Linked DNA regions of Drosophila melanogaster. The protein of the gene in region 3 interacts with the protein of the main gene of each other region in a pairwise test. Each region holds a gene or a part of one and is shown on either strand. Other genes may lie near its edges. The genes, in order: CG8292, stum and RhoBTB.

The links.
Region 1: the proteins of RhoBTB (region 3) and CG8292 interact in a two-hybrid assay, tested with the Drosophila melanogaster proteins (one large-scale study listed by BioGRID).
Region 2: the proteins of RhoBTB (region 3) and stum interact in a two-hybrid assay, tested with the Drosophila melanogaster proteins (one large-scale study listed by BioGRID).

What each region holds. Positions count from the first base shown.
Region 1 is NT_033779.5:8,213,708-8,219,915, reverse strand, and holds CG8292 (uncharacterized protein), read left to right. Parts: upstream 1-1,898; 5' UTR 1,899-2,016; coding exon 2,017-2,229; intron 2,230-2,291; coding exon 2,292-2,942; 3' UTR 2,943-3,065; downstream 3,066-6,208. Other genes in the region: Snx6 (sorting nexin 6), read left to right, coding at 1-46, 110-554, 618-800, 1,045-1,062, 1,237-1,346, 1,412-1,505; CG8349 (uncharacterized protein), read right to left, coding at 3,077-3,513, 3,573-3,930; CG8353 (uncharacterized protein), read right to left, coding at 4,802-5,244, 5,429-5,498; CG8360 (uncharacterized protein), read right to left, coding at 5,916-6,135.
Region 2 is NT_033778.4:21,670,597-21,681,527, reverse strand, and holds the start of stum (stumble), read right to left. Parts: upstream 6,628-10,931; 5' UTR 6,226-6,627; intron 5,455-6,225; exon of another isoform or gene 5,199-5,454; 5' UTR 5,014-5,198; coding exon 4,202-5,013; intron 4,140-4,201; coding exon 3,672-4,139; intron 3,604-3,671; coding exon 1,013-3,603; intron 953-1,012; coding exon 397-952; intron 1-396. Other genes in the region: CG15676 (uncharacterized protein), read right to left, coding at 9,251-9,799; NC2alpha (negative cofactor 2alpha), read right to left, coding at 10,049-10,931.
Region 3 is NT_037436.4:20,374,381-20,388,269, reverse strand, and holds RhoBTB (Rho-related BTB domain containing), read right to left. Parts: upstream 12,029-13,889; 5' UTR 11,669-12,028; intron 10,529-11,668; exon of another isoform or gene 10,431-10,528; intron 9,840-10,430; 5' UTR 9,811-9,839; coding exon 9,622-9,810; intron 9,559-9,621; coding exon 9,455-9,558; intron 9,389-9,454; coding exon 9,191-9,388; intron 8,959-9,190; coding exon 8,422-8,958; intron 8,360-8,421; coding exon 8,101-8,359; intron 8,036-8,100; coding exon 7,922-8,035; intron 7,858-7,921; coding exon 7,771-7,857; intron 7,701-7,770; coding exon 7,617-7,700; intron 7,556-7,616; coding exon 7,313-7,555; intron 7,249-7,312; coding exon 6,978-7,248; intron 6,724-6,977; coding exon 6,572-6,723; coding exon of another isoform or gene 6,549-6,571; intron 6,479-6,548; coding exon of another isoform or gene 6,388-6,478; 3' UTR 5,872-6,387; downstream 1-5,871. Other genes in the region: fbl (fumble), read right to left, coding at 1,416-1,746; CG5498 (uncharacterized protein), read left to right, coding at 4,247-4,717, 4,770-4,989, 5,051-5,260, 5,330-5,775; Ide (insulin degrading metalloproteinase), read left to right, coding at 12,783-12,850, 12,909-13,043, 13,101-13,371, 13,427-13,655, 13,706-13,889.

The DNA.
Region 1 (6,208 bases), on a different chromosome or scaffold from region 3:
ACATGACCAAAGAGGAGTTCAAAAAGATGAAGTCAGAGCTGGAGGCGTAAGTGTCAATTAATCCAAATAGTCATTTTCTTATATACTAATGTACATCTTTACTTGCCAGTGAGTACCTAGCTACCTTCAAGAAGACGGTGGCCATGCACGAGGTTTTCCTGCGCCGCCTTGCTAGTCATCCCGTCTTTCGCGTCGATCAGCACTTGAAGGTTTTCCTGGAATACGACCAAGATCTGTGCGCTAAGCCACGCAAGAAGATGGCCATCTTTGGCGGCTTTGTCAAGTCCCTGGGCAAGACCACAGACGAGATCTTGTTGAGCGCCACGGTTCGGGATGTAAATGACTTCTTTGAGAACGAGCTGCAGTTCCTTACCGAGTACCACGGCCACTTGCGCGAGGCAGCACTCAGGACGGAGAAAATGACGCAACGCCACAAGGATGTAGGCGACTCGCATCAGAAGATTTCGAATGCGTTGACGCAGCTCTCGACTACGGAAAAGGGAAATGTGGAGACGTTTGTGGCCAAGACAGCGGAGATATTTGAAAGGATCAAGGTGCGCTACGCTGCGTTTTCGCTATAATTATATTTTATAAATTTTCCTCTTGATATTTTAAAGAATCTGGAAACCCGAGTGGCTAGCGATCAAGATCTCAAGCTGGGCGACACTCTGCGCTACTATCAGCGGGATAGCGACGCTGCCAAAGCTCTACTTATCCGGCGACTGCGGTGTTTGGCTGCTTATGAAGCGGCCAATCGAAACCTGGAGAAGGCTCGCTCCAAAAACAAGGATGTTCATGCGGTAAGATTGAGGGATGATCACAACTAGTTCTTCCAGAACTATGTTTCAGATCGTTTAAAGAGCAATTGTTTTCCCTACAAAAAGTTTCCAGCGGGTCAATTAATTCTCACGCTTCACTAATTACAAATAACAAATTATTTGCGTTCTTGTATTTTATTGCTACCGTACACAACCTCACAACTCTCTGATCTGCCTGTCCCTCCCTCTTCACTTTTTGTGCGTGTTTGTGGTTCTGTTTCTGCAGCCGTTGGAGGTGCAAGAGGTATTTGGCATTTAACGTTTTAACCGTCGGTTTAGTAGATGTGTCGCCACCCCACGTAAATGCTGCATGCGCTCCACCGTTGCTCAATCTGTTGTATTCACTTTAGCATGCCCTTGCTGTGGCCCACTTGTTGTGTTCCCTGTATATAATCGTTTTTGTTTATCCTCCAATTAGGCCGAGACTGCCCAGGCGGAGGCCTGTGAAAAATTCGAATCTATGTCTGCATGTGGAAAGGAGGAGTTGATCGGTTTCCGCAACCGACGGGTAGCTGCTTTCAAGAAGAGGTGAGTCAGCAGCTGCTAAACATTTTGCTATGCTCTGCATTTTATTATCGCTTTTCTAAACACAGCCTCGTCGAGCTCTCAGAGCTGGAGATCAAGCATGCCAAGACGCAGTATGAATATCTGCGCCAATCACTGCTAGCGCTCAAAGAGATTGCCTGAGACGGGGAGCCGGAAGTAGACAAGGAATAGAAGGATGAGTCACCCGCACATTGTTTACACACCCCATTGAAACGCAAGCCTCATCGATTACACACATCCGGGAGACGAAGTAAATCAATTGTTTAATTGCTAAGCAAACAGTTTATTATTGCACAGGCCAAATCGAGTGCAACATTATTATCTTAGCCCACGTATTATATTAACGAATATTCATTTGTTTTGTGAACAGAGCGCTTTTATATTTGTCAAACAAGCATTCCTCTCTACAGCATAAACTACAACTACATATATTGTAAACACTTGCATTTGAAGCAGAATATAAACGAGAAATATTGTACAGAAGGCTGGCTGTTTGTGAGCAGTCAGTATACTAGCATTGTTTGGAGTCTATTCGGTAACTGGGCAACATCAAGGGTTTCCAAATTAAGCGTCTCAAGGGGTGCACATTTCCATTGTCGCTGAAAATTGTGTTTGTTGTCAGTGTTAGATAGATTTTCAAAGTCCATAAGCCATGGATGAGTTCGGCGTCTTCGATTACAAGCGCCCTGCCAGCGCTACAGATCCCGATTGGAGGACCTCGTACTATCGAGGGCATCGCCACATTACAGACTTGAGAATGGGTAACAAGCTGAACGCCAAGTTTACGGATAAGGGTATTTATGTAAAAGATCCGCTGCTGTCCGAGAAGCCGACTTCTGAGTGCATGGCCAACTATGTGTGGCAGGTGAGTTGATTGATATGCTGAGATATGTTGCACCAAACTAAAACGTGACCATGATGTTCCAGTATAACGATCCCAACGCACTTAGAAATCCCTCGCTCAACATGAAAACACAGTATATGAAACCATTTGAGGAGGGTTCCCTTCGCTTTGTAAAGCGAAAGATGAAGCCCATTTCTAGTGTCAGTCATGAGTCGTATGTACTTAAGGAGCTGCCGGAGGAACAGGAAATATTGCCTGTAACAATGCCCACTCCGGTGGTAGCCACCAAGCTAGTCATCGACCGTTCGGAGGCGTCCTTTAGCAAGTACCTTGATCCCTCCTCCACCACATACAATCTGTCGTATGTGCGCTGGGGTCCCGAGGACTTGTGTGGCGGAGTAGCTGCCCACGACAATATTACATACTGGAATTGGACGGAGAAGATGCCGCCCATCCAGAAAGTGTCCCGCGAAGAGGATCCTACAATGTGTGACGAGGGTAATACGCATAATTGCCCAAAGCGACGCTGTGAGTTTCAAAACCTCACCAAACGAGTGCCGCATTCGGGAATGGTCACCGAGGTGCGCGCTAATTTCACGGATCCACAATTTCGAAGGGTTGAATTCGATCCAGAAGTTAAGCCCATACTCGTGCACGAGGAAGTCACTCCGTTTGCGGAGAAAAGCGAATACGGCATCTACGGATCGGGAGAACCAGTTATCAAATACGTTTAGTTCTCTACACATTGTTTTGACTTTTTGTCAAGTTAATCAGATCGCTAACTTAAATTATTTGCAATACTTATTGACATTAGAACGAATAATTTTATTGCATTAAATAAATTCTGGATATTATTTAGATGAAAATTTCATTCAAATGAGTTAAAGCTGTGGGGAAGCAGATGGTAGGCGGACGTGACCAGCACTTCAGCTTCGTCCGGAATTGAAGGAATGCAGTTCTCTTGCTCCGGCGGCGGAGCCTTGGCAATGTAGATAGGAATATCATTTTGGATGAACTCCAAAATGAACTGCCGGCAGACTCCGCAAGGTGTGGTAAACCCATCTGGGTGATAGGCTACCACAGCACCCGCCGTATACTTCTTCTCGCCCTCGCTGATACCCTTGGCCAGGGCACAACGCTCCGCACAATTGCCTGGAGTGAAAGCTACGTTCTCGATGTTGCAGCCCGCGTAGATCCTGCCGCACTTCGCACGGAAGGCTGCTCCCACTTTGAATTTGCTGTAGGGCGCATAGGCACATCGACGGGCAGAAAGAGCCGCCTCTAGCAGCTCCCGGCCATCCTCACCTGGAGATTACGGTTTGATTACCAATGGCAGAGGATTCACCATTATAGCCAAGCCTTACCAACAGCACAGAACGCTACTGTGTACTCCTCCAACATCTGTGGATGTGGCAGGTTTTCGGATTCACTAGCCCGACCCCTGTCGCCATTTAGACGCGCCTCCCTGCGTGCTAGCTCGCATAGAAATCCCTCCAAGGTCATCATATACTTTCCCAGTACCTTTCGAAGATTCTTCTGGCGCAAGTTCTTGATCTTACCGCCAGCGCACTTGGTGCCAGATTGCTCCTGGCGACGAGCTAGCTTCGCCTGCAACATTTCCAGTTCCTTCATCTTCTTCTCCAGCTCTTTTCGCTTCAGCTCATCCTGTAGGTCGCTCAGGTTCCGCATGTAGCGCTGAAGGAGCTTCCGCTTTTCGGACATTTTGCAGAACTTCAAATTTTTAAAACGAAAACAATTTTTGAAAGCCAGAAGCAAATGCTGTATCTGTTGGCAATTTGTAAAACACTAATGTCAAACAAATTATTTTCTTTTTGTTTCTTTTTCATAAAAATGATTATATTATATTATTTAGCGCCATTTGAATTTTTATTACATTTATTACAGTTGATGTTCATTAAGGCATTTAATGAAACAACAACAACAACTAAATACGTTTAAAATTTTTACAAATTAAGAATGTCGAAAAAGCTCGCGCGTTTTCGACGCGTTTCGGACGCGTTTTGAACGCGCCTTTATCGCGACATCGGTCTAGCCAGTCTGTCTTATTGTTCGTATGAACATCATGATCTCAAAAACTAGAATCCAAAGGAATTGGAAACAAACCTTATAAATTTGATTTAAAAGATTGCCACTACCACAATGATCTTTCTTATTTTCGCTACTATACAAATGGCGAAATTTAATCTCACAATAATTTGGTGTTTATGAATCAGAAGTTGAGTGCATTTATCACGTCATCACAAATCGGGGCATTCCCTGCATTGCGCTTAACGTCAGCAGTTGTCAATCCAAATTCGATATCTTTAATTTATAACCTTAATTTTGATATATAATCAAAAGCGATTAAACACCTTTTCCTAGAATCTTTCACTGTGTCAATCTTTCCAGCATTTATATCCCCATTTCCTATTCATTGATCGAAAAAAAAACATTAAACACTGCTAAGTAGTGTAATTTTCTTTATTGCAAGTGATTAGATCAAAATTATATTGATTAGAGGCAGCAAGGGGTTGAGAAACAACCTTTACCTAGCTACCTTCTGCCTATTTTCGGTTCTTGCCTGCAGTGGTCGTTACTTTCGATAGGTGTGAAAACTGCTCGGCAACAGATTAAAGATTGAGGTGCACATGACGGGATCGTCACTCTGCAAAAGTTCCTGCTTTTCAGCAATCCTCGCATCGATCGCCTGGGCCACATATATGGGTATATCCGCGTTGGCAAACTCGCGTATAAACTGACGACAAACGCCGCAAGGAGTGGTGAATACATTAGGTTCGTAGGCCAAAACAGCACCTGCCAAAAATTCGGTGGCTCCTTCGCTTACGGCCTTAGCAATGGCCGTTCTCTCGGCACAAGAGCCCGGCGTAAAGGCGGCGTTTTCCACATTGCAGCCAGTGAAGATCTTTCCATCGACCTTGGCCCGAAAAGCAGCCCCAACTTTGAAGCCACTATATGGAACGTATGCCCGCTGGCGCACTTGAAAAGCAGCTGTCAGAAGTTCTTGAACCGACGGATCTGGAAGTCGAAACAATGCACGCCACGCTCAAGAATTAAACTTAGATCTTGTCAATGAGTGTAAGGAGTATTAATTTATAACATTATTATTTTTAATATCATAAGAACCACTTTGAATAATTGACAGTCGTAGATATTTAAGGATTGTTCTCAGATTGTTCTCAATCTCGAGAAGGAATCTTACCCAGACTGCCGAAGGTCACAACCTCCTCATTCTTTTCTGGACGTGCGAAATTTTTTGTCAGATGTGTCATTATAGTTCAATTCTTTTGGTCAATAGAGGCACGCCTATTTTCTTAAATTTTGAATTATTTTTAGCAAGTTGAGTGCGTGTGTTTCTCCTTTGAACGTCCGATGGCAAATGGACGGTTTGTGGTGACGGCGGCGCCCGAAGTTGGCTATGCTGATAGCACTCTCCGCCGTGTAGTGGTGACAGAAATAAACATTTGGCCAATTCGGAGCGCGAGAGAGAACCAGGTATCAGGCTGATAAGCAACGATCGCGATCGCGGAGAGCAGTGAAAAACACAAACAGATGCCGTATCTCGTATAAGCTATTCAATCAACAAATAACGAGGGGTGGGTTTACAGAACATTATAAATGGGATGTCACATAAACTATTGCACATGGATTGCACCCTGTCCGGCTGGGCTGGGCTGGGATATTCTTTTCTATTTTCCGTTGGCGAAGCTAAAGCCGTTGGGCAGCAGTTGGAGAACGCTGGTGCAGAGCACCCTCAATGGAAGATTGGTCGGCTTGGCGGCGTACAGGGGGATGTCCTTGCCGTTGACGAACTCCGAGAGGAACTGCCGGCAGACGCCACAAGGCGTGGTGAAGCCATTATCCTGCTGGGCCACCACTGCACAAGCCACAAAGTCGCGTTTGCCTTCACTGTAAAAATGTGTTATTTTAGTTATTCGAAAGGACTTGGAGAGGATAATTAAGTATGTAAGAATTTAAGTAA
Region 2 (10,931 bases), on a different chromosome or scaffold from region 3:
TCATAGCGAACATGGGGAATTTAGTAGTTCTTTGTTGTGCGAGTCCTTTGGTGACAAAGATAGAACGATAAGCAAACTCAAGGGTTCCAGCAAGGTATATCATACTTTTTTGCTCATATATGTAAGGGCTACTCAAAGGTTGGTACTTCAATGTTCTCAGGGGGACACATGCTCTTGGTATAAGATTGCATATAATTGCATATATCTTGATAAACTTATCTAATGGGTTTTAAGTATTTAGGTTGGAGTTTAAGATCTAACTGAAGCTTAGGTAAATTAATCAACAACATTGTAACCCATGGAAAAGGCATATCTAAAAGCCATCTAAGCAAAGGGTTTTAAGGAATATGCACAGAGATTTCCTATTCCTCAGATTCCCACTCCCTGTTTACTCACTTTGCCAGACCGCCGCTTCCCGCCGTGGATCCTCCCTGTCCGTCCGGCGATCGCCGCTTGGCGTCCACTTTGAAGTCCGCTCCACTCTCGGGCGTGGGCATAACATTACCAACCAGCTCGGATTCGGAAGCGTCTAGGGCCGTTGGAAGATCAGAGCTTTCGCACTCCACCTCGGGCACGCTGGCTATTCGCTCGGCGGAGCTTTCATTGGGATGCAAAACCGAGACAGAGGCTTCGATGGGTTGGGTGGGTGGAAACGGTGACTTGGGCAGCTCCCCCGAACTCTGAGGAGCAATGCTGCCGTCGGCTGTGCCCGTCCGGGAGGCGGATTCACCCGGCCTGGCCATCGTGGTACCCGAACTGGGCGTTGGCGAGGGATCAGCGGCAAGGTCGTTCTCCAGACTTTTCAGATCGGTGAGATTTTCGCTGATGGTCTTATGGATCTCGTCGGTGGCCTCAGTTACGGTCTTTTGAATGTTCTCCAGAGTTTTCTGCGACTTTTCCAGAATAGCAGCAGCATCATTGGACATGGGTTGCGAGCTGGCTCCCACTGTTTCTGTAAGGGAAAGATGAAAGATGGTCTAATTTATCCTTGTAAGCAATTGTAAAAACCCACCTTCTTTTTCTGTAGCATGTTCCTGTACGGTGGCCACCTTTCGGTTTTGAGGAGAATCTGATCGCACCTTGGTGCTCTTGTTGCTCAGCAGGCTCATCCTGGAGCTCATTCGCACCAGTTTCGACATATTGGCGCCGCCAGCACCTTTACCTCCTGGCGTTGAGGGCACGGTAACCTCACTGGTAACCGCAGGAACCGCTTCCACCGCCTGCAGAACTGCATTGCCAACCTGAGCCGCCAAAGGAGGAATTCCTCCAACGGGATCGGTTCCATTTGTCCCTTTCTCTAAAGTTATGCCATGGGTTTTTGTGGTGGCTGGTTTCTTGGCCTCCGATGTTGTTCCCCCAGGTGGTTTAGTTTTTGTGACTTGGGATTTACTGGATTTTACTGAAGACTCGGTTTCTTTACCATTGCTCTTGGAGGCCACAGACTTCCCAGTCTCCTTTCCCTTCTCCACTTTTGCATCCTTTGTGGAAATCGCCTTGCTGGCTGGCTTTTTTGCATTTGTGGTTGGTCTACCATTTACAGGAGTTTTGTTTGCATTCTTCACTGGTGGTTTCATCAAGGATTCCGTCTTGGTCTTTGGTTTGGCACTTGCAGCGATCTTCGGCTTCGCTTTGGGGCTTCCTTTAGCGGTTACCCCTTTTCCAACTTTGTTGCTCTTGGGCGTAGATCCCATCGCTTTGGGTTTCTCCGGCGATTTCGATCTCTTCTTGGACGAAGACGGCGGGGATTTGGAGGCAACTTTAGTCGATCTGGTGGGAATGCGCGAGCGGGAGTTCCTTCGAGATAGAATCTCTGGAGGCTCGGGCTTACCCCGACTAGAAACTCTTCGGTTTTGACCAACGGCATCGGGACTGATTGATTTCCGGCGACCCATCATAGCACTGGCTGGACTCAAGGAGATGGACTTTCGGCGACTGGGTGTTGTGGCACGCATGCTCCTGTTCCTGGCCATGGTAGCGGGTGAAATGCTGGACGACCGCAGCGAGGAAGAGTTGATGCTCAGTCGCGAGTTTGCACGTGAGTTTCCCCGCGAGTTGGACACATCGAAACGGGAACTGGGCCTATCCGCCCGGGAACTAGATCTCTCAGCGCGTGAGCTGGATCTTTCCAAGCGTGAATTGGGCCGATCCATTCGGGAACCGATCTGATCCAATCGGGAACCAGGCCTAGAAGGTGGGCCCCTGGATGCCGACCTCGAGTCTCCAGGTCTTCCACTCTCCCTCGAGGACGTTCTGCTGGGATGCATGGATCTGGAAGGGGATCGACTGCCGGCATTCATGGTTCTGGAAGGGGACCTAGTAATGCTAGCCCGCGAGCTTCGTCCAGAGGCAGGGATTCCAAAGTCTTTGGGTGGCGAACTGGAGCGTGAGTCTGGACTTTTGCGAACCGGTATGCGGGACACCGAGTCCCGTCGCGTGGAAACCTCGGATGGGGTATCCACCGCATCGGCCATCAGCGAGGATCTGTGGTTTGGACTCTGTGCCGAACTGCTGTCCTTATTTGGGGTTCCAATTATGGGTGACAGAGTGCTCGGCTTGGCGATCTTTCCGTGCCTGCTCAACGGCTTGGGCTCCTGATCCCTCTGATAGATGGACTGCCTTCGCTGTCCAAAGCTTGGTATCCTGTTGGGTATCCTATTCGGACTTAGAGCCTGCACAGATTTCCGACGCATTCTGGACAGTGTCTGAGCTGCTGGCAGTGTGGAGAGCGTTGGTCGGCGGAAACTGAAATCCGAGGTGGTGGCGGTGACGCTGCTCAGGTTGGAACTTCTTCGATCCGAGACCGTTTGCGTGGAACTGCGACGCTCCGGTGAGGTCGAGCTGGAGCGACGTCTTGCCTGGTTGGGAGTGCCATCGAAGGAGGGTCGGCTCAGGTCATCCAAACTGCACCAGTTGGAACGCGGCGGGTTGTGGGTGAGCGACTCCTCCTTGTTAATGATCTTCAGGAGACCGCGTTGCCTTCGCGTGGGATTCAGATTTGGCTTCAGTGGTCGCGGCAGTGCTCCGGGCGGAAAAACAGCAGGTTCCGGCCTACTCAGATCCATGGTGGATCCGTAGTGCAGGCGGGGAATGGAGCTGCGATGCTGATCGTTTATCAGGGGCAGTGTTTCCATGCTCTTGATCTTTTGGCCATAGGGCAAGCTGCGGATGGGATCCCTGCCAATGGAACCCCTTCTTATTTGGGCTCTTGGCGTGAAGGTGTCGATGGAGGAGGTCAGCGAGTCCCGCTGCTGGAGAATGCCCTTCTGCGGAATGGCCAGCTTGCTGCGACTGTGGCGTCCACTCATATTGAACTGAACCGATGGGCGTGGCGAGTCATCCGTGGTCTGGTGGACGAGGTGACTGGTGTAACCCAGCGCGGAGGGCAGCTCAGGCAGTCGCGGCTCTGAGCCAAAGATCGATCTCCGTCGAGGACTGATCTGAGGCCTGCCGGCCGGCGATGAGGTAGTCGTCGATGTCGACTGAATGGAGGCGTGTCTTCCTCTGGTGGGAGCTTGTTGTGGAGGCCGAGGAGCAGAAGAAGCTGCCTGTCCCGTGGAAAGTATCGTGAAAGCAGTCTTTTTGTGTGGACGAGGTTGCTCCACTCTAGAGGGGACAGAAAAACTTGAATATATGTATTATCTTTATGGATATTTTCCACAGGATAACCTTACCTATAATCTCCGCCCATAGGTATTGAATCCCTGATGATAACTGGGGACATTTCCCGCTTTAAGCTATGTTCAGGCTCCACACTGCGGCTGTCATCCTGCTCCGTCAAGTCAGTTCTACGGAAAGGGGGCGGGTCTGCCGGTGGAGGTGGCATTCTATAGTCCTCCAGCGACTGCCTCTGGCTACCTCTCTCCAGACCCAACTGTTCCTCCAGATATTGCTTCGGTGAGAGTACAACGTCCCTGCTAACGGGCCTGCTTTGGTTGGGTGCCACTCGCTCCTCTCCGCCGCTGCTCGAGCTGTTCATGTCCTGGATCATGGTGGCCAGTGGGGAGAGAGGTCCTTCATCCTGCTTCATCGACATAATCATTTTGGAGCTGGGCCGCAATCGTGGGATGCGTGTGAACTCTGGAAAGTGCTGTGGCGCCGGACGGAACCAATCCCTTCCCGAATAGGAGTCACTGAGTAATCTAAGAGGAGGTAATCACGAAGGATTAGTTTGGATAATATATTGGTGTATTCAAATACCAACCCCCTGTGGTCCTCCGTCGTGATGCTGGACACACTCAACTTGGCGGGCGCTTGGCTAGGAGTCCTCGTCGGCTCATCTTCCTCATCATCGAAAGACATTCTCTGACCGACTACGGTGTACTCCTCGACCTCGTTCTCCAAATCATAAACGTCCGGCTTGTTCAGAATGTCATCGGGGGCCAGGAGCCGATAGTTAGGTGAGCCCAGTTGCTCTGAACTGGAGCCACCGCTCGAGTTGGGCAGAATCTGGATGTCGGGTGGCTGGAGATAAGGCAGTAGGGATCCTCGGGGAGTCCTCGAGTACGGGACACTCGGAAAGATGCGTTCCCTGGCCGCAGGAATAAGTGCGTTCAGCGCCATGGCGGCCACCAGCGCATCCTCCTCGGAGCTGGGCAGTTCCACAGACCCATTTCGCAACGTCTCAAATGCTGCTGTTCCGAAGTAATCATCCGGCTGCAGAGGCGGTGGAACCGGATCCCCAAAGAGGCTACTATACGGCTGGGCATCCGACTCCGAGGGCTGGCGCACAAAGCTCTGATTGGAGGCGAACGTGGAGGGTGCCATCGATTGGGCGGAGAGAATGGAGCGGGTGGTATGGGTGCGATAGCTATAATCAACCGGGATGATGGCCGGCTGGAACGCGGACTCGCCTCCAGTGGATCTGGGTCGTGGTATTGGGTTCGTACTTGGACGTATGTTCAGATTCGGTGTCAGATTCGGGTTCGGTGGCGGCGTCTGTGCGGCTGAGGCTGATGGCATGGGCATCGGGGATGGGGATGGCGATGATGATGAGTACGAGAGGGTCTGCTGCATGGCTTGACATGGGTGCTAACCGATCTTCGGCCCTCATGCATTCACTATGATTTCCTATCCATTGTTGCAGCGTTTTTGCGAAATTCAGTCGTGGTTGCAGTAGTTGGAAGCCGATTTCCACGCAGGACACTCCGCGTTCGTCCTTCGCTTTAGTTTAAGTGCCACAAAACCAATGACGCCAGGAGCTGTTTATTCGAAGCAACAGAATGTATTTAAAAATCACTCACAACACCCATGTGCGCACATCTTTTGATTCCACAGACAGACGACCAGCGAGACCTTCCGGCCCTCTTGCAATGTCAGAGAGACGTACACGCGACGCCTTCACCGGCGGAGAACGGATAACGGAACGAGGAGCACGGAGCACGGAGTAGGCAGTCCCAAAAACCGGAGAGCGAAACTGAAGGGCTGCCGGTTTCATTGCCAATTCGCAGTGATGGAAAAGGGTATTGAGTATGTTTACCTGGGCGAATTTTTAAAAATAATAATAAAAGTAATTTCTGTCTTCATACCAAGTAACTTTTTTCAAATATCCTAAATTTTTAATAGCTTGAGTAAAGTAATTTAAATTCATCAGCAATTAAAAAAAAGTAATTAGGTACAACTGCCCGGATACGTCCGCTTCCATCACTGGTTGTGGCAAAAATAGTAGAGTAATTATTACTGCACGGCTTTATTTTCTAATGCCATTTCACTCCACATTCAACTATAAATAGCTGCGTGCGAGGCGCTGATAAAGCCGCCCCGAAACCAAACCGATTTGAAATCGGAATCGTTATGGTATGCCATGCACCTGCTGCTATATGCGAATCCGAGTCGGACTCCCAACTCCCAAACGCTTGTCTTGGCGCTAACGAGAGCATAACTTGATGAGGAGGCCTCAAAGGCTTGAATGGGGGGAATGGGGATGGGGATTTGCTTTTGGGCGGATGGCTTCGGCTTGGCTGGCTGCACCGGCGTTGCATGTTGCAAATTGCCGCATTAGTGACTGCACTTGAAGTCGAACGACCCGGCAGATGTGGAAGCCAGCGGGCTGAGACTATCCTATCACCAGAAGAAGGCGATGGTTTAATTGGAGCTGTGCGGCTGGGTACGCAGATATTTTAGCGAAATGACGTAGCCCATGAAGGTTTTGGGGGGGAAGGTGGAGGAAAGGTGTGAATGAATGGCCTTTGTTCGCATTGATTTTCCTCTGCCTAATATTTAACCTACATTTTATGGCCCGCCGCTCGAATTTCGGTGACACACTTTGGGCCAAAAGGAAGTGACTTGGCCGGCTCCTTTTCGTTCCTTTCGTTTTGTTTTGGCCATGACGCGTTTTGGGGGAGTTGGCCGGCTCCCAGGCGGCTTAAGCTTCCTATTTGCGAATTGGTTTTTTAATCGCTTGCCGCATTACACGCAGTTTTCTTGCATCTCATTAACGCTCGGTCACACTTGAATAACGAATTTTAATACCTGCCACGTCCACACTGACTGTGTTAGTTTGGTCCTGGAGCGCATTATATAATTTACATTTGGGTTTTAAGTTTAGTCTAATTCGGAAATAGAATGTATTTGCTGAAAAGCCGCAACAAATAATGGAAACGCGACGAAACGTGGCCGCTGCCTAACTTAAACTGATGGCCGACCAGCGGTAAGTGAGCAAAATGGAGGCCTTCAAGAGAAATATTGCCTACACTTCAAATCCAAAACAGCACACAATGCCCCCCCCCCCCACACACACACACACTCGGTGCCCCAACAGTTTGCACACGCAGACCCGCTGAGATATCGAGACTGGCGAACTGAAAAGCCGAAAAGAAAAGGCGACCGGGGGCGCCAATTCGCCGCGACTTTTCCGCGAGTTTTCCGCATTTCGCCGCCTAGCGAGGCGGCTGCATTAGCCGTTTGCATGTCGTTGTGTTCATCTGTGCGGCGTGTGCTTCTTTCTCAGCTCTTTCTGCCTCTTAGACAACTTTTGATTGCTTCCCCCAGTTTCCCCCGGCTGGCTGTGACACCTGTTGGTATGTCTGTGGCACGCGATGTTCCAACACTTTTGTACTTCTACGCCGCACTGCCTGCCACCGAGAAGCTCAGTCAGCTAATTTTTCATACTTTTCGGGATGCCTCATAACTTTAATGCCACTTGTATCTATTGAATGCACGCATGTATTTCAATGAACACTTTCGCTCATTTCACTTTAATGCAGTTTTATGGAGTTGGAGATTGCACATAAGAGCTCTGATTGAACGTAATGATAGGTATTAATAAAAACTTTCCTTTACTGTGTTCAAAAAAATCAGTTTAAAATACGCCTATTGATTTAGTATTGAAAGTAAATATATCCTTATTTTAAGTGTTTGAATATTTTATCCGCTAGAATGTCAAAAAATAGTTATGCGTCGCCCAAAAATTAGGATCACTTAATCACTGTGTGAAAGGTGTCTCTGCCCATAAATATTGCAAAAGGCTTCGGCAGAAGGACGCTTTTCCTGCACTCGACTGAGTGAGTATAAGACCCTCGGCGAGTACACTGCACTTTCCTTGGCTTTGGAATAGGGTCAAAACCGCAACAAATTCCGCGTTGCCTTGTGCAGCGGCTAGGAGTCAACAACACTTGGCCCGCAGCTACGAACTCCTTGGCCAGCCGGGCACTGTTGCAACATCAAGACAACAACGGCAGTGGCAGCAATAACGCCTAAAGACAGGTATGTGTGCAAACACAGACCACCCAAACCAAAGCCACGAATCCCTCGGAACGGGGGGACTTTTAAGTGGCAGTGCCGGAGAAATCCTTGGCTAATGTCGTGTTAGCCCCCAAAAACCCGCCCCTTGTGGGGTCCAACTCGAACCCCCAGTGGAGTCACACGGAGTCACAAGTCGGGGAATTCCTAGAGACATCTACGAGTTAATTGTTTTGGGCTTTTTCACTACACAACCGAGTTGGAAGTTTTTAATGTTTGCGATATATCCGACGATTTCTATCCGATTTTAGGCAGTTTGGTTTTAATTTTTAATGCACCGTTACTTGTAGAGTTATTGTCATAAAAAAAAAGGTGAGAGATTTTCAAATAAAAAACTGAATACCCAAAAAATTCAACGCGCATTTGCATCGATCCGATGCACTGCACTCGCCGTTCGTAGAAAAACTAATCCGCCGTGGGCAAATACCTTCTTATACATCGTCCTGCGCCGTGGAGCTCCACGGCAACTGACCAGTCGGGTTTAGGTGAAGAAACCACCGAAGAAAGCCGAAGTCCACGTTTGGCCAGCCACACGGGTATACGTGGGTCAGTAAACCTACTTCCGGTTGACATAAATACGCCTTGGACATGAAAACTTGGCACTGGCGGCGCGCCGCAAGTTGTTTTTATTGTTTCTAACCTCTTTTTTTTTTGCGCCATGACTCAAGACAGGTGGACAGCGTGGAGTCCACGAGTGCAGGTGTGCAGATGCAGATCTGATTCCCCCAATTGAAGGGGCTTCGATTAGCCGAGCCCAAACTCTTTGGCGGATTCACTTGATCTGGTTGAGAGAGCGCAGCAATCTAATCTCGACTTTGGGCTTGGCTAATCAAAATTCGGGAATAGTGCTGACCCTAATCTAGTGTGCCAAGCCCATGGATGAAAATTCATATAATTCAAAACTGCACCTTTGCTCACTGGGAGCGGTTGGGTAATTTTATTCGCTTGCAATAAGATTTTCCCACGCGATATGTGGCTCATCTGCTGGTCAGTTTTGTCCTTTTGCCATATAATTTGGTATCCTTGGAAGGGAATGGAGTCTACATCATGGGTTGACCCACATCGGGCACAAATTAATATCAATTGTGGCTGGCAGATTGCGTGTGCGAATATGCGGAGGGCTGGAGTAACAGCTGGACGAAGGCATGGGCATGGGATTGAAAGGCATTCAATTGTAATTGGCTGTGACCGAGGATTACACAATGACTAAGCGGTGCTCCCTGGCGAAATTAAGTCATAATTATTATGATGTGTATAGGCTTGTAAATAGCCGAGCTCGGTAATAAAGGTCACATTTTGTAGGGCACAGTCTGGGATCCTACGGTCCCGATACTCTGACCTCTTTACCGGGCTGCTAATAATGTAATTGTAATGAATGAATTAGTGGGGAACTCCAAGGGAGAGCTGTACTTCGTTGGAAATTAAGGCATTTAGACAATAAAGACTTATTTAGAACGAATGTCTTTATAAGCAACTACAAGGTACTAGCAATTTTAAGGATGGTGGGATGCTTCTAGTTCTCCACTTCATGTTTATACAATACGGCTAGGTTCATCTCAATCGTGTTCACCTGATCCTGCAGATAGTCGATATCGTGCTCATGTTGCAATTGCTGCTTCACCAGGCTGGTGATGTCCTTTTTGATGAACTCCTCCGCCTCGGACAGCTCGAATTCCATTTGCAGAGATGCGCCCACTTGAAGGGTAACCTTTTGCACTGGCGGTATGCTCACCCATCTGAATACTCCCTGTGCGATTTGCACGAGGCTGTGAACTTCCTTGTCAGGATTGTCTATGAACCTCCTCACCAATTCCAAATTATTTTTGGCAGCCTCCAAACGGGTTAACACTGCTGTGAGGTCAGTCTCCAACTTGGCAGCCAGTTCGCTGTATTGCACATAGAAAAGGCGTTGCATCTTCAATGCCGCTGGAACAGTCGAATAGAACTCTGGCTTGGCGATGTAGCTGACGACATCGTCAACTAACTTGGCCTCTGGGATGGGCATAAATGACTTTCGGCCGCCCAGAGGCGGCTTTTTTATGGTGTCTATGAATGCAAACATTTTCAATAATTGTTGAACTTGTTTAGTACATCTAATTCAAAGATAAACTGATTTAATATCGTATGCAAATTAAACAGCATTATCTGCTAGAATGTATAAATTTTCTTTCTCTATTTAAAGTACTCCGCATTGCGTCAGCTTAAAATCCAGCATGGTCTTTATTTTGCAAAAAATGTTATTGTGATTTCTTAGACCTAGAGTACATATTAATGTATCAATAATTTAAAAGCGCATTCACATAGATCCTAATCAAATATTGTCATAGTCTTCGTCTAATTCGAAAACGGTTTCAGTGGGGGTCGCTGATGCCGCTGTGGCCTTTGGAATGATGGGAGCGCTGCTCTTTCCAGCCATTTGGTTCACATTATTGTTGTCCCCCGGCGTGGCCGCTGGTAATCCAATAGAGGCGGGGGGCACACCACTGCCAGGTGCTCCACCGGCCACGATATTCGTCAGATCGATATTGATCACCGGAGCAGCTATGTCGAAGTTAAAAGCTCCAGATCCGGCGCCCGATCCTGACCCAGAATCAGAGGCGTCCGGTGTGCACAGGTTCGCCGTCGGCATTTGCACGTGGCTGTAGTCGATCTTGACAATGGGCTTGTTGAGTTCGTAGTTGCAGATCGGGGCGGGTATGGCAGTATCGAGCTGCACCGACTGTTTCTTGAGGTGATTGGGCGGTCTGCCCCGTGGCGTGTAGGCCGGCATGGACCCGGAGCGGGCCAGCTTGGCGGGCAGGGTGGTGCTGGTGGTGGGAGTTTCCTGGGTGGAGTGCTGCGACTGAAACTGCCGCTTGGTGGCTGCGGCTCCTCCGCCCGATCCGGCTCCGTTGTTCAGACTCATGGAGCGCATGTAGGCAGCTGTGCCGTTCGCCTGCGAGCGCATTGACGTCGATGGCAGGCTAAGATCATATGGCGTGTCTGAATCTGGATACTGTTCCTCTGGCGAGCTGCGTAACACATCGTCCTCGTTGTAGGCGGCCTCCTCGGCCACACTGATGTCGGGTATGTTGCGGACCAGCTCCTTGAGGAAGTCAAAGCGTTTCTCGGATACGATACACTGCCTCATGTGCGATGGCGATAGCGTCTTGGCGTTGCGCGCATTCGTGATGCGCAGCGTCTTGGTCAGCAGC
Region 3 (13,889 bases):
AAATCGAACGCCAAAGGCTAGCTAAATGAATAAACTAAATGCTTGAAAGCGGTTCATGCTCATGGTGTCAAGATCAAATTGACGCCAAACTGTGTCACACTGCTGCCTGCTAACGGTTGCTTTATCGAGGCGAGGGTACTTCACAGAGTATACTTATCGGATACAGTGGATATCGTCTAAGCAGAATGCTTTTATATTGTAATAAACCAAAGGCTTCCCCGCATTGGCAATGTCTTCGCACCGAATTGGACTTTGGAAGTGCACGCACCGCTCTTGATGATGAGATCAAAGATCGATGTAAAGTGTAGCGCCTCCGGCATTGTGTAACCCTTGGAGCTGTGGCGCTGCTGGTTTATTCCGCTCGACTATAGAATCGGCTGCACATAACACCGACGTGTAATCACTGGTAAACGCGTTTTATTTTATTTGACTCTCCAGTCAGTCAGACCAGCCCAGCCCAGAGACCCGGGCAGCGCGTATGTCGAGGTGTATATATTCCACGGAACTACGGCGCTTTCAATTCGATTCGTTGCGTTGGGTTTCGTTTCGGGCAGTATATGGCTATGGGTTCATTACGAGCACAGTGCGCCTGTATACTACGTTGGTTTGCCTAAACCGGAAACATTTCACTCGGGCGCCACAGGCAAGTGCGACACGTCGATGGCTCCAACTGACTGACTGACTGGCTGCCGGATAATATATTAGCCGTAAACAGCTGAACACTAGCGAAATGAGCAATCGACTCGAACTGAACGCATGTGCGCCGCGCTCGGGTAAACACACCTTTCTTATCTGCCCTCCGGGCACGGCACGCAGCTTATCGGGCGCTGGTATTGCTCGAATTGACCAGGGAATTGACCGTTTGGCGGGCTCAAGCAATTTTTTTTATAATACAGGTGTACACTTCAACCGAATTTGTCCGATCTTCACTTGTCGATCCGCAAATCGCGAGATCCCCCAGGACGTTTATCTAATCAGTTGTTTAACGTGTAGGTCTATTTCAGAATGCATTACTCAGAATTTAACAATCTTAACTATAAACTGGATGGAGTCAAGAGGCCGGCGGTTTTTATCTTCTCGCCAAGTACTTCATTTTTAGGCAAATGTTAAAATATTATTCCCTACAATACTAAATACTAAATAACTAGCTGTGGGTTCATTGGACGATACCGATGGCCACTGACTATGGGATTAATTGTGGCCTTAAAATCATATTAAATAAAATCATATTAAGGGTTTTTTAGGGTTTTAGTGAATTTACTTATATCATGCGACGCATTTCAATCCATCTTATTCCTCAAATCAGGCGAATTAAAAGCGTATTTAAGCACGATTTAGCACGATTTTTACGAAGGAGACTGGATTTGGCCAATCAGATATCCCAAAACCTGAACACATATTATCCGCCAACTTACACATAAGCTCATCGCCTTGGGGAATTTGGATGGCGGGATGCGGTAGTTCGGTGAAGGCGGAGGACGAGGAGCAGTAGCTGTTGCACCTGCTGTGCTCGAAAAACACTGGTTCCGCCTCCAAATCGATGGGATCTGAGCTGCTATCCGAGGCCATGGCGATGGACTTGCTCTTGGAACCCAGAGCTGAGCGCCACGAAGCGCGCCATGAGTTTCGTTTCGCTGAGATCACAGGTGAGGTTGGCGGACTGGGGCTGGTCGGTTTCTTATCGTTATGCAACTTGAATATTTTCAAATTGAATGAGTATTTCGAGTTGCGCGTGGGGACTTTCATTTTATTTGCTTGATTATTTTACAGCTTAGCGTTTCGCTGACACACAACGGATTTACAAGTTCAGAGGCGGGCACTTATCACAGGCAAGTTGGATTGTGGAGTGTGGAGTGGATTGAAGCTTGTTGGATTTGGACCATTGGCCACGAAAGCCGCGAAAGATGTTTGTTTGCTCAATTCATAGGTTTCTAAATGGCGATGGCGACAACTGGTGATCGCGCGATGCGATGCGATCCGATCCCATCCGTTGTTGACCGTTCGAAAACAGACGTGAAACGCGTTTGAATGAAATTTTACTGCCCGAAGCCGCGACAGCAACAGCAGCAGCGGCGGACGCGCTGCGGCTTTCGCATATGTATAAGCAGCTCCAAACGAACTGAGCGCCATGTGTAGTGGGTATATGACCGTGGAGGGGGAGACACCCATACATATATAGCCTCACCGCATTAATGAGCGAGCCGAACCGAACTTAATCATTACGAAAACACATTTAAAACACTGCCAGAGCAGCGTCGACCCACTGTGAACCCTACGACGTCTGTGGATCGCCATTACGTCCGTCCGCTTTTGCATTTGCCTCGGCGACTGGCCCGTGGGTAACTTGGTAAAATTCCCAGCCAATGCATAGTCAATCATCTGGCCATTCATGACCGAACCTGTGCCTTGTGGCACAACACTCTCTCTGCAGGCGCAGCAGGCGTGATAAGAGTGTGAAGAGCCCTGATAACGCGGTCCCAAATGGTTCAAATTCCAAGCGGAGAACCCGCCCGAAAAAGCTGTGGTCCGAAGAGAGCCGAGATGGCAATCATTCATACACTAGCCTTTGGGGAAAACTACTAGCCATTCCGCAAGTGCAGACACTGATTTCGATTATAGCTTAAATGGACAAATGTGTTTCGCGAGTTATAAGTTAATCTTATCATTCATGGTGTTGTGTACCCACAGAGCATGAAATCTGGCAGCGATACGAGTAGGGTATTTCGATGCACTGGTTTTGTGTAAATAGCTGGCAGTCATTGTGACGTTAGTCATATCTGTGACAGACCAGAAAATATTATCACATATGCATGCTTTTGCTTAGCAGGCAGTTCGCGCCACTAAAAAAGTGGTCAAGCTACAGAATTAAACCAAGTCAATAAACCCTCAACCTTGCTCGCAATAATAAACGTATGAAAGAATTTAAAAGCACACATTGCTTGGAATATTTGTTTACTATATAACAGAAATAATTTTAAAATGAAAAACCTAAATTAGGCCAACAGTTATTAGAAATTTATCCCGCTAAATTAACATCGCTAAATCTAAATTCGAGTTTATGCTCTCAGTCATCATGTGATTACTTTCTAATCACTGTTTGTGTTTATCTCGCAACCGCAAAGCTGCCCACTAAAAATAGGTTTAGAAAGTTTATAAACAATCAACCATATTTATCAAGTCGAACAATTGAATTGTTAGATATATTTTTGTATAAATCAGAGATAGTCTTCTGAGAACTTAGTTCGTGTTTAAATACCTTATCTCTTTTTGAACTTATATGAACTCCCCAATTCCTTCTCAAATCTATATGTTCCTAACAACTTATAGTGAATTAAAACTCCTTCTGTATTGCTTTTGGTATTTGCCAGACGCAGATGCAAGCTTCCATAATCTTGCGAAAGCACCACTTACCCCTCGCCAACTGATTGCGCAGGTTAATCTGTTCGTCCTCCGTCATGATGAATTGCAAGACTCAATTGAACGGAGTCAGTTCACCGCAGAACAATGGACTATCCGGAGAATCGCACGCACTTCAAGATGATCCGACAGATGTTGCAATCGGGGGCCTTTCAGGGGCAGCGAGGAGATCTAGGCGGGAATTCGTGGCCAAGAACGTGTCTCAGGGGCTGGGATGTGCTGCTCTGCTCATTGATGCTGCGGAATCCTGGGGCGGCCAAGTTAGCTACGTGTTCCGTGCATTCCCGGAGTCCTCTGGAATGGTGCTGTACGCTCCAGTGCCAAGGCGAGTTCCACGCACACTCAACAAAAGCTTCAAAACAAAATTTTCGTCAGAAGTTTTTAATCTAGTAGCCTGGATGGAACAGCTGATTTGCGATGTGGAGAAAGTTAATCGATATCCAGCTTATCGAAAAGCGCAGTGTTGGTAAGCGGTAGAATTTGTCTTAAATTGTATACAATACAAGCAGTATCTAAATTAAATTACAAATTTTTAATTTAGCAATTGGATCTTTAATTTATTTTTAAAAATTTGATTCGAAATTTACATTTTAAATTGAGTATTCCCACACATTTTATGTGCACCTATTAGCTTTAAGTAAAAATCTTAAAAAAAAGTATCTCATTTGATTAGCATTCCATTAAATTAACGGCCCCTTTTAAAATTTGTTTACAAGCTTTGTATACATTCAATCATTTTGCAACACCAGAAACTAGCTGATTCGACATAAACACACAATCACAAAAGACGCGCAATTTTTATGATCCGGATTAAATTCTTGTTTTAAATATGGGCCTTGGAAGCGGTGACAGGGTAAATGAAACCGACCACTTCAGCTTTCCCGCAAGCTGGCAGGACAACGGTAGAATGCAGGTGCAGTTCGCCATGTTTCGATCGAGGCATCTGGATGCGGAGGGCTACGACGCAAAAATGAATTTCTGGATGGATTTAATTGCAAAATATCTAAAGTTCAGCGGACGACCAATCTTCAGCCTGCGGGATCTGCAACTGCTGTTCATGAGGGGTGACCAACTGCCCGCCTGCCTGGACACCGTGATATCCGAGATGCAGCAGAGGAAGCAGATCCGCTCTCGCAGTGAATTTGAGTACGATCCGGCCAATTCCTGGGGTGGTTGGCTCGTCAACAGCCTGGTAAAGCGCCCCCTTTCATGGAGCTGGTCGAAAATCAAGCACAGCGTGGTGACGGAGGACCTGGAAGCCTCCGCTTTAATTGAATGGATTCACCTAGATGCCTTAAACGTATGTGATATCATCCAATGATTATAGGAATCCTACATAATTAACTTTCCAGAACACTTGCGATCTCATCGCCGAAAAAGTCCTGTCGGAAAACACTGGAAAACTACTGCACTTTAATGCTTTGAAAACGCTTTGTAAGACTCACGGAGTTCCCACTTACTCAGACAAAGATCTATGCGCTTGCCTGTTGGCCTTAAATGTTCGTCAAATCTTGGGCCTAGAATTTAAAGTAGAAAAAGGCATACGCCAAATTCACTTGATCAAAATACCAAGCAAGTTTAAAAGGTTCTCAAGTAGTTAGTATGTATTATTAAACTATAATTTTTGTTATAGAAAAACCTGGCGACGATCTTAATATAAGCCAAGAAGACCAGGCCGTCCACAATCTTCAGAATACCCAAGCTCAGTTACTCAAGCAGTTGGAGGACCTAGAGGAGGAGATCAAGGTGAACGATGACAAAGTGCGCCAGTACATGAAGGAGAACAAACGGCAAATGGCAAAAACCTATCTACGAAAAAGGCATCTCCTGGAAAAGAATCATGGTAATCTTTATTGTAGACACCCCTTATCTGGCTTTTGTGAATAATGTTCTTTGAAAATTCTCTAATTAGAACGTCGCAGTCTTGCCCTGCACAACATCGAATCTCTTCTGTCCAGTGTGGATGAGGCCCAGAACAGTGGCGTTGTTCTGGATGCCTACAAGATCGGATCAAATACCTTGAAGAAGGTTCTCTCGAATTCTGGATTGAAGTACGACAATGTCGACGAAGTATTGGCCGATGTGCGGGACACGCTCGACCAGCATCGGGAAGTTCAGGACATAATGTCCAATAGCGTTGTGGAGAACGCGAGCCAGGAAGATGATCAACTTGAGCAGGAATTGCGTGAACTGGCTGGAGAATCTGCGCCGGCTACGTTTAGTCCACATATTAATAACAACCTAAGGGCGGAGGTTGTGATTACGGACGAGGAGATGATTGCCATGCTGCAGGATCTTGAGGTGGAGGATGGTACTGTATCGCAATCCAGTGTAAAATCCGTGAAAACTGCGATATAAATGTTGTGTTTTTTTAAATGGCATGTGAACTGTTATAATTCTAAATTTATTACATTGTAAAATGCGTTTTTATTACAAGGAAGAAACGTGAGATTTGTTCGTAATTGCTTTTTTATTCTATCATTCTGTACAAAATGCGTCCTTATCGTAGAGAATTGCTTAGAGCTATGGCTAGACAAATGTTTCCGTAAGTAGGAATTCAAAAATATACATACATACATGTCTTAGGTAAAGGTACAAATATATGGATATACACATGTCTGCGTCCTTCGGCTGTCCACATTCCATGGGAGGGATCGTGCAGAACAAGTTGAGTGTACACCGATATATCGTAAGGCAATACAGCGAAATGCTTCGCAGCGCCGAGGTGCATGTGCATACATACTCGTCTATGCTTTGCGTTTTATATAGGCGTATAAATATAAGAAATCCGAAGCACTCTGCAGTATGCTCCCTTGTTCTGGGTCGAGCTACGTTGGACTTATTAATCGTTAATCACTAAGGCAAATTTGCGCTCTATATATTGCGTAATGTCAAAAGCAGACGCGCCACGCCCCCTCCATTTCCAACCCTTATCTCCCCGACCACTCTAAATCGTGCCCTTGAGGTTTGTTATGTATGGATTTGGAAAAGTATCAAAATACTTAAAATCGTACAGATAAAACAGATCAGGACCGGCAGGATCACAATGAAGCGCAGTGATCTGGAATCAAAGTATCGAAGTAAATCATAAATATCGAAGAATCCTTACTTTGACATTAATATCAACACACCTTCCTTGCCCTAGGGCTGGGTGTCAGAGATTCAGGTCCATGTCCGCCTCCAGATCAATGTGGTTGAGCGAGTTGCCGGCGCTGTTGAAGATCTGATTATCTGCGTTGCTGTTATCCGTGGTTCCACTCACATCAGCGCTTCGCTTCGATTTACCTAACAGCCAGCAAGAGAATACTTTGACCAAATTTCGGACATTAATATTATGATGATGGCGTTGTCGTTGTAAATGAGCAAGGAAATCAACAGGAAAGGAAAACAATAACGAGACACCTAGCTACGAATACAAACCGCCGTCATGATACATACATTGTCCTCTAAAGCTAGCTGAAACTAAAACCTGAGCTGATCCTCCGACTGGAGTATTGGACTGGGATGTTAAGTGTGGTGGGATGTGGAGCAGATAGTTCCGTAAATGTAGCAACACTTACCGCCCGTAAAGCACAGACAGCCCTCGTCATCGCTAGGCGATTCCCGCCTCGAAGTCTTTAGCTTAAGCTCCTTGTTCAGCTCGTTCAGGCATCGCTGATAGTAATCATAGTCTTTCAGATACCAGACTGGAGGCCATCGGTGCTCGCGCAAGTACTCCTGATTATCCTGGTGTAGCGCCTTTAGGCCCTTGAGTGAAAACTTACAAATAAGGTTGTAATTGACGCACAGGTATGACATGCACCACTCGGCCAATTGATGTGCGTTGTGCAGCTGAAAAAAAAAGAAAAGTATTGAATTTCGGTATATCATTTTTAACTGATCTCTCTATGTGTACCTTCACTGGCTCGAGCAGCTTTAGACAGTGATCCACCGTTTCATTGGTTTCGTTCTGAGAAATCAGAGTGAGATCTTCAATAACGCGGCATTCAACCAGGTTGAGCAGCCGCGGCAGGCAGAGTCTATTGGCCAGCTCCAGCAGATTGAGGCACTTGACGGCCGAGATTGGCGGAATCTGGTCTGTGTACAAATAGCACAGCAGCTTGTGGAATGTGTAAATGGTAACGCCAGGGAATACGATCTAAGGTAAAGGAAATTTATGACAACTGTCCTTAGTTAAGGGGTATTGTGCCCGTTCCTACCACATTGGAATGAGCCTCGCGAAAGTCGCCTAACAACATTGCGCGCATGACATCACAACGACCAACCAACACAGCGCGGTGTGCCTGCAATGCAGCAAAGGTAAGTGTAAACGATTGTGCTTCATATAGTAATTCAACAGACATATGTATGTACCTTCATTAAGCCATCGTCCAATTCAAAGGTGACATCACTGAAGCACCCGTCACCAATGCAATGCCGTTCCATGCTTTCTTTGATGCGCTAATGTATGTAACAGAAAATGGTTAGGATCATAAAATAGATATCATGACATCAATGCGCTCACCAGGCAAATGTGCGGATTTGGCTCATCGCTGGAGTTCTCCATAACGGTTTGAGGCCTGGAAAGTAGCTGAGTCAGTTGCGGCAGTTCTAATAGATCGGCAGCTTCTCGAATTTCCTGTGAGAATTAACAATATATTAGTAGGTCAAACTTAACACAGAATACATTGAAACATTTCCTACCTCGATATTATCGCAATCCTTGTCAATGGTACCGGTATAAATAAATCTCAGGCACTGGTGCAGAGCTTGCGGAGAGATAAGTTTGCTAAGGGTGACAATCGTCTGCAGACCATTTACACCCCGATGGTTTTCCACGTGCACCAGGCGAATGCTCTGCAGGACCGGATGATGCAGCTCCCTGTACAAATCGTTGGACCGCTTAGACTCCATGAGAGGCAACGCCTGGTAGCTGGAGCGGCGCTTCAAGTGTTCCCACATTCTGTGGGTGCAAAATGTATTCAAAGTCAAATGGGCTCAATGCAATCGGGAGGCAGCACCCACCGTTGTGTGCGTGATTCGTAGCGGATCAGGGCCTCCGTGTCATCGTTAAAGTCCGCAATGGTGGCCTCCCCGAATGTTGAGCTGACCATGCTAGATTCGCTGCTGCTCCGCCCGCCCATATCAGTCAGCTCAGTGCTAAGCAGGCGCTGGAAGATGCTGGACGCGGCGGCTAGCATGAACCTGTGCACGGCGAACTTGGTGCCACCCGCCCCGACCAGGACGAGGTCGGTGTAGGCCTGCGACAGGAACATGTTGTAGATGTCCTGCCGATAGTTGCCGACCATGACGGTGACCTCCGGTGGTGGTGGCTTCGGTGGCCGGAACGGCGCCTGCAGCAGGGGCTTCTGCACCTTCTTCAGGTTTGTCATCCAGAAGCGCTGCTGTCGGCGTGCAATCAACGCGGATCGGATGGCGTTTTCAAACACCTCGTTCACCCCAAAGTATGTGAAAACACTGGTCTCGTAGTACGCCACTCCTAGCTCTTTGGCGACGGCACGCGCCTCATCCGGCATAACCAGGTCACTCTTCAACGCGGCTCTTTAAAAAAAGATTATAGTAATGATTGCCTTTAATTTAATCCAATTAAATAGAATATCTCTGAACATATAAACAGATTAATTTGCTATAGTGGGCTAAACATTGAATTATATCTTTCGTGTGTTCTAAATATAATTAAATTATGGTGAATAATTGAATTGATTTGATTAAAGAACAACATTAAAAAGTGAAAGCCACTCAAAACCGGCTGAAACCTGCTAGCTATGCATACCGAACAAAGGTTCCCTTCTCGCCGAAATACGAGAGATAGTTCTCGTCGCGATACATGTAGCGCAGGTCGTTCTTGCAGCCAACTAGAATGACGGGAACATCCGGACAAAAGCGGCGAATTTCCGGATACCACATCATCTTGCAGTTGCGCAGGGAAATCGGACTGGCAATGGAAAAGCACAGCAGCACCACATCGGATCTGTAGGTCAAGAAGGCATCTTATTGATTCGTATGGCGAAAATGCTGCTACATGAGCTCTACACACCTGCCGTATGCGAAGCGCCGATCCTTGTCGTGGTCACCAAATGTGTCCCATAGGCGAAGTGAGACATTCACTCCATCGACCACCTCCCATGATCGCTCGAGTACCTTTAATGTATATGGATTCGGTTAAATGCAATAACTATGACTCTTGAGAGAATGGTAACCCACATCCTTATATATGCGATACTGGTCAATGGCCCACACGGTCGGCACGTGCGTAGAGAGGAGCTGAGATAGCGAGACGTGTTTGTTGCAGGCCCTCGCGCAGATCAGTCGCGTCTTGCCCACGGCCGTGTCCCCCACCAGGACGCACTTCACTAGCTCTTGATGCGGCTGCTCGTTGTCCATTTTGGGCATGCACAAATAGCAGAACCAGCTTATGGAATCTGAAATGAAAATAGTATTGGATTTTTGTGTGATTTAATAAAATGTGGTCTCTCCTGAGGAAAACATACATAAATGAAAATATTGAAAATAAAATAAACTGCTGACACCCCTTCTAATATAAATAAGTGAACTACGTAGAATAGCTGCCTTAATGTTTTTCAGTTCTGATAAGCAGATGCTAAATTCTCGACTAACAATCGACCTGCTAATTACTAAGTTACACAAAGTGTCGTCTGCATTAACGTTTTGTGTGAAGGCAAAATGGTTTCATCACGTGATTAATTTGATTTTAATCTAGATACCTAAGTGCTTCCCAAAATAGAAATACATAGTTTGAAATAATCTACGCACTGGGAAAATTCACTTCTACGTTCAGTTATACGTAAAGCCAGAATAACTGATCTACGCCAATAGGCAATTTTGTTTGTTTACTCGCTGCGCACTGTGAAAATAACTATAGTGAAATCAGATACCAGCTTCGTATCATTTACTTAGAAATCTATTGGATCCCGCAAACGGAGGCTATAAAACCAGCCAATTCATTGACCCCCACTTGATCCACTTGTCGCGGAGGAAGTTGGAGTAAGTACCTCGGATACGGAGCGATAAGCTCGCTCTCTCTCTTTGAACCTCTAATTGAACTTAATTGGGCTGCACTAAAAATATATCTGCCTTCAATCCTCCGGTCGCAATGAGCACACTTCTTCCTGCGTGGCCCACGCTTCATGGCAATCCATTGTCCGATCTTCTCGACGAGCTGCAGTCTGTCTATTTTGGGACGCGCTTTAAACCCAAAACAATAACCATGCAATTGAAAGTACTTCAAGTGGTCGCCAGAAGCGATCGTTGTTCTCCACAGGAAAGTCTTTTGTTCGTGCGAAGACTTTAAGTTACTGTCAATATTGTGGATCGTTGACCTCTGGAATACATGGCAATCGGTTCCACTTTTGCTTTGATTTTCTATAATTTATGTGTTCAATCTATTTAGAGCCATTTGAATTGACTTTATGAAGGTTAAAGAGGGAAGAATATTCTTCAAATATTGAAAAATTAATGTCTGATATAACTACTATAAAATACCGTTTTTATTTTTATTATTTCCTTGTAGAAATATTTTTAAAATATATTATTTAAGTGCCCAGTCTTAAGCAAAGTGAAGCAAAAACAAAGAAACAAAGAAAGAAGACGTTGTGAAGGTAAACAACTGTTAGTTTTTGAAGATATCAGGTATTTTGAAAATGGAAAGATCGTATTTTTTAGTTTTTAAAAGGTATGTTCTTAGTTTTCATTGTAAAATATTTGCACCAACCATAATCTTGGGAAATAAAAACAAAGTTTATTTAGGGACTGGTTCCAATTTATTTCTCATGCGAGGTGTGAACCTGTGGTTTAATTAGACATTTTGATTCGCGAGAATTCGCAGAACACGCCAGCATATTAGCATTATTAACAAACTCTGCGCTGTTTTGCCATGTCTGGGAAGTCTCCTTTCTTCAATTTTGCCAGCTTATTGATTTTCTCGTGCCATTGCAAAACGGCCACAAATACCGTTACCAAACCACACACACATTCAGACTCGCACACAAGGAGGCACAGAAGGGACTTTTAGGAGGGGATCTTGAAGTTCGGACTCGACATTCCGGCAAACTTGACCCATTTAGGGGAGAAAAATCGTTGAACACTTGCACTTTTTCTCGAGGAAAACGCATGTTGGTGGGTAAACAATTAAAACCTGATTAGAACCTAATTCTTCGACTGCTGGCCGAAGGGGAGAGCACAGAATTCCCGAACTCATAAATCTCCGCGGACGTAGCACTGCAGCACTCACCTCTGAAAACGCCTGATCCCACGGATTGCACGAATTGCACGGATTTGCCTCAATGTTCTTACTTTTGCGTATTGCACTTATCAACACGCACACCAAAGCACGGCATTTTACAACAATTTGCATTTATTTCTGCACCCACACACCGATGGCGACGCAGTTTGTGGTTCGCAAACACGCGAAATCTTTACGGCTGGCACAAGTTTAACATCGCTGCGAGCTGGTTGCCGACGGATGGCTGCGGATGAGCCAGTGCTCGCTGACCAGGTGCACTATAAATGAAATTAAAAAATAATAAATTGCAGTTACAGCCCGCAATTCTTCTACGCGCTTTGACGGCAACCGGCCAGTGTTGGAAAACGGCGGCGGTTGGGCGCGGAGCACTGCCAGATTGACGGAGAACGGGAATTCACGGAATATTTATTTTTATAATGACTGTTATCAGGGTTGCCCAATATTTATTGTATGGTCGTTGGAAAAATTTCAAGCATTTGAAATACATTTTGAAATCGCCATCTATCCTAGGTAAGGTGAATATGCAGCTTACTTTAGTCCAAAGTTACATTAGAACTATTAAAAATCATCACTTTAAACTTATTAAGTCTTTCGTATTTGAAAATATGGCCTACCACTTTGTAAAATTTCTCCAATTGGGAATTTCAAATCTGGAACCACTCACAAAATAAACGATCTGGCAACATATTAAACTAGTTCTGCGTGCGCGGTGAGTTGGCAGCTCTGCGAACAGATGATTGTTTGCTATTTTAGTTGTTGCGAAACTAGTTAGAATTTATTTTTCGGTCCAAAAAGCGATTAAAATTGATTGAACGTGTAACCGACCGGCTTGGAAATCTACTCCTCCCACTCTAAGATTTCTTGTGCGCGCTACGTAAAGCCGGAGTAGCGTCGTCAAGAGTATTTCACAAACTCAATGTATCTTACGTGCAGAAAATCGATTTTTGCCTTAACAGCGGTTTTTGGTCGACGGTTGGCAGCAATTAAACAAATTTCCGCTAACGGGCACCACTAAATCGCATTTATTTCGCACAGGTCAAGTGCGTTGAGGGCCAGCATTTCAGTAACACATCGAACGATTGGCACGCTTATAAAACCCAAGATGACAATAGCCGAAAGCTCGCAAAAGTCCGCAACTAGGAAGCCAGACAGCATGGAGCCCATATTGAGGTAAGTGCACGTTACGCATCTTAGAGGTCGTCGAAAGGCAATGGTTCGTCGTTTATAGGCTGAACAACATTGAAAAGTCGCTGCAGGACACACGCGACTACCGCGGATTGCAACTAGAAAATGGACTAAAGGTCCTGCTCATCAGCGATCCCAACACAGATGTCTCGGCGGCAGCGCTGTCCGTGCAAGTGGGGTAAATAAGATCAAATCTTCACTCAATGTTTGTTTTTAATGAGTATACCCATGGCAGCCACATGTCTGATCCCACGAACCTGCCTGGATTGGCCCACTTTTGCGAGCACATGCTGTTCCTCGGCACCGAGAAGTATCCGCATGAGAATGGCTACACCACATACCTTTCGCAGAGCGGCGGAAGCAGCAACGCCGCCACCTATCCCCTGATGACCAAGTACCACTTTCACGTGGCGCCGGACAAGTTAGATGGAGCCTTAGATCGCTTCGCGCAGTTCTTCATAGCCCCCTTGTTCACGCCCAGTGCAACTGAGCGGGAAATCAATGCGGTATGTGAAAGCATTCATTAAAATTTCTGACAGAAATAGGACGCTGTCATTGCAGGTAAACTCTGAGCACGAGAAAAACCTGCCCAGCGATCTGTGGCGCATCAAGCAGGTGAACCGCCACCTGGCAAAGCCTGACCATGCCTACAGCAAGTTCGGCAGCGGCAACAAGACCACCCTATCCGAAATACCCAAGTCCAAGAACATTGATGTGCGGGATGAGCTGCTAAAGTTTCACAAGCAGTGGTACTCCGCCAACATAATGTGCCTGGCTGTCATTGGAAAAGGTTTGTTTTAGTATAGCCGTTTCTGCCAGCAAGTAATCAATCTCTGACAGAATCGCTGGACGAACTGGAGGGCATGGTATTGGAGAAGTTCTCCGAAATAGAGAACAAAAACGTCAAGGTTCCAGGTTGGCCACGCCACCCCTACGCCGAGGAGCGCTATGGACAAAAGGTGAAAATAGTGCCTATCAAAGACATCCGATCGCTGACGATAAGCTTTACCACAGACGATTTGAC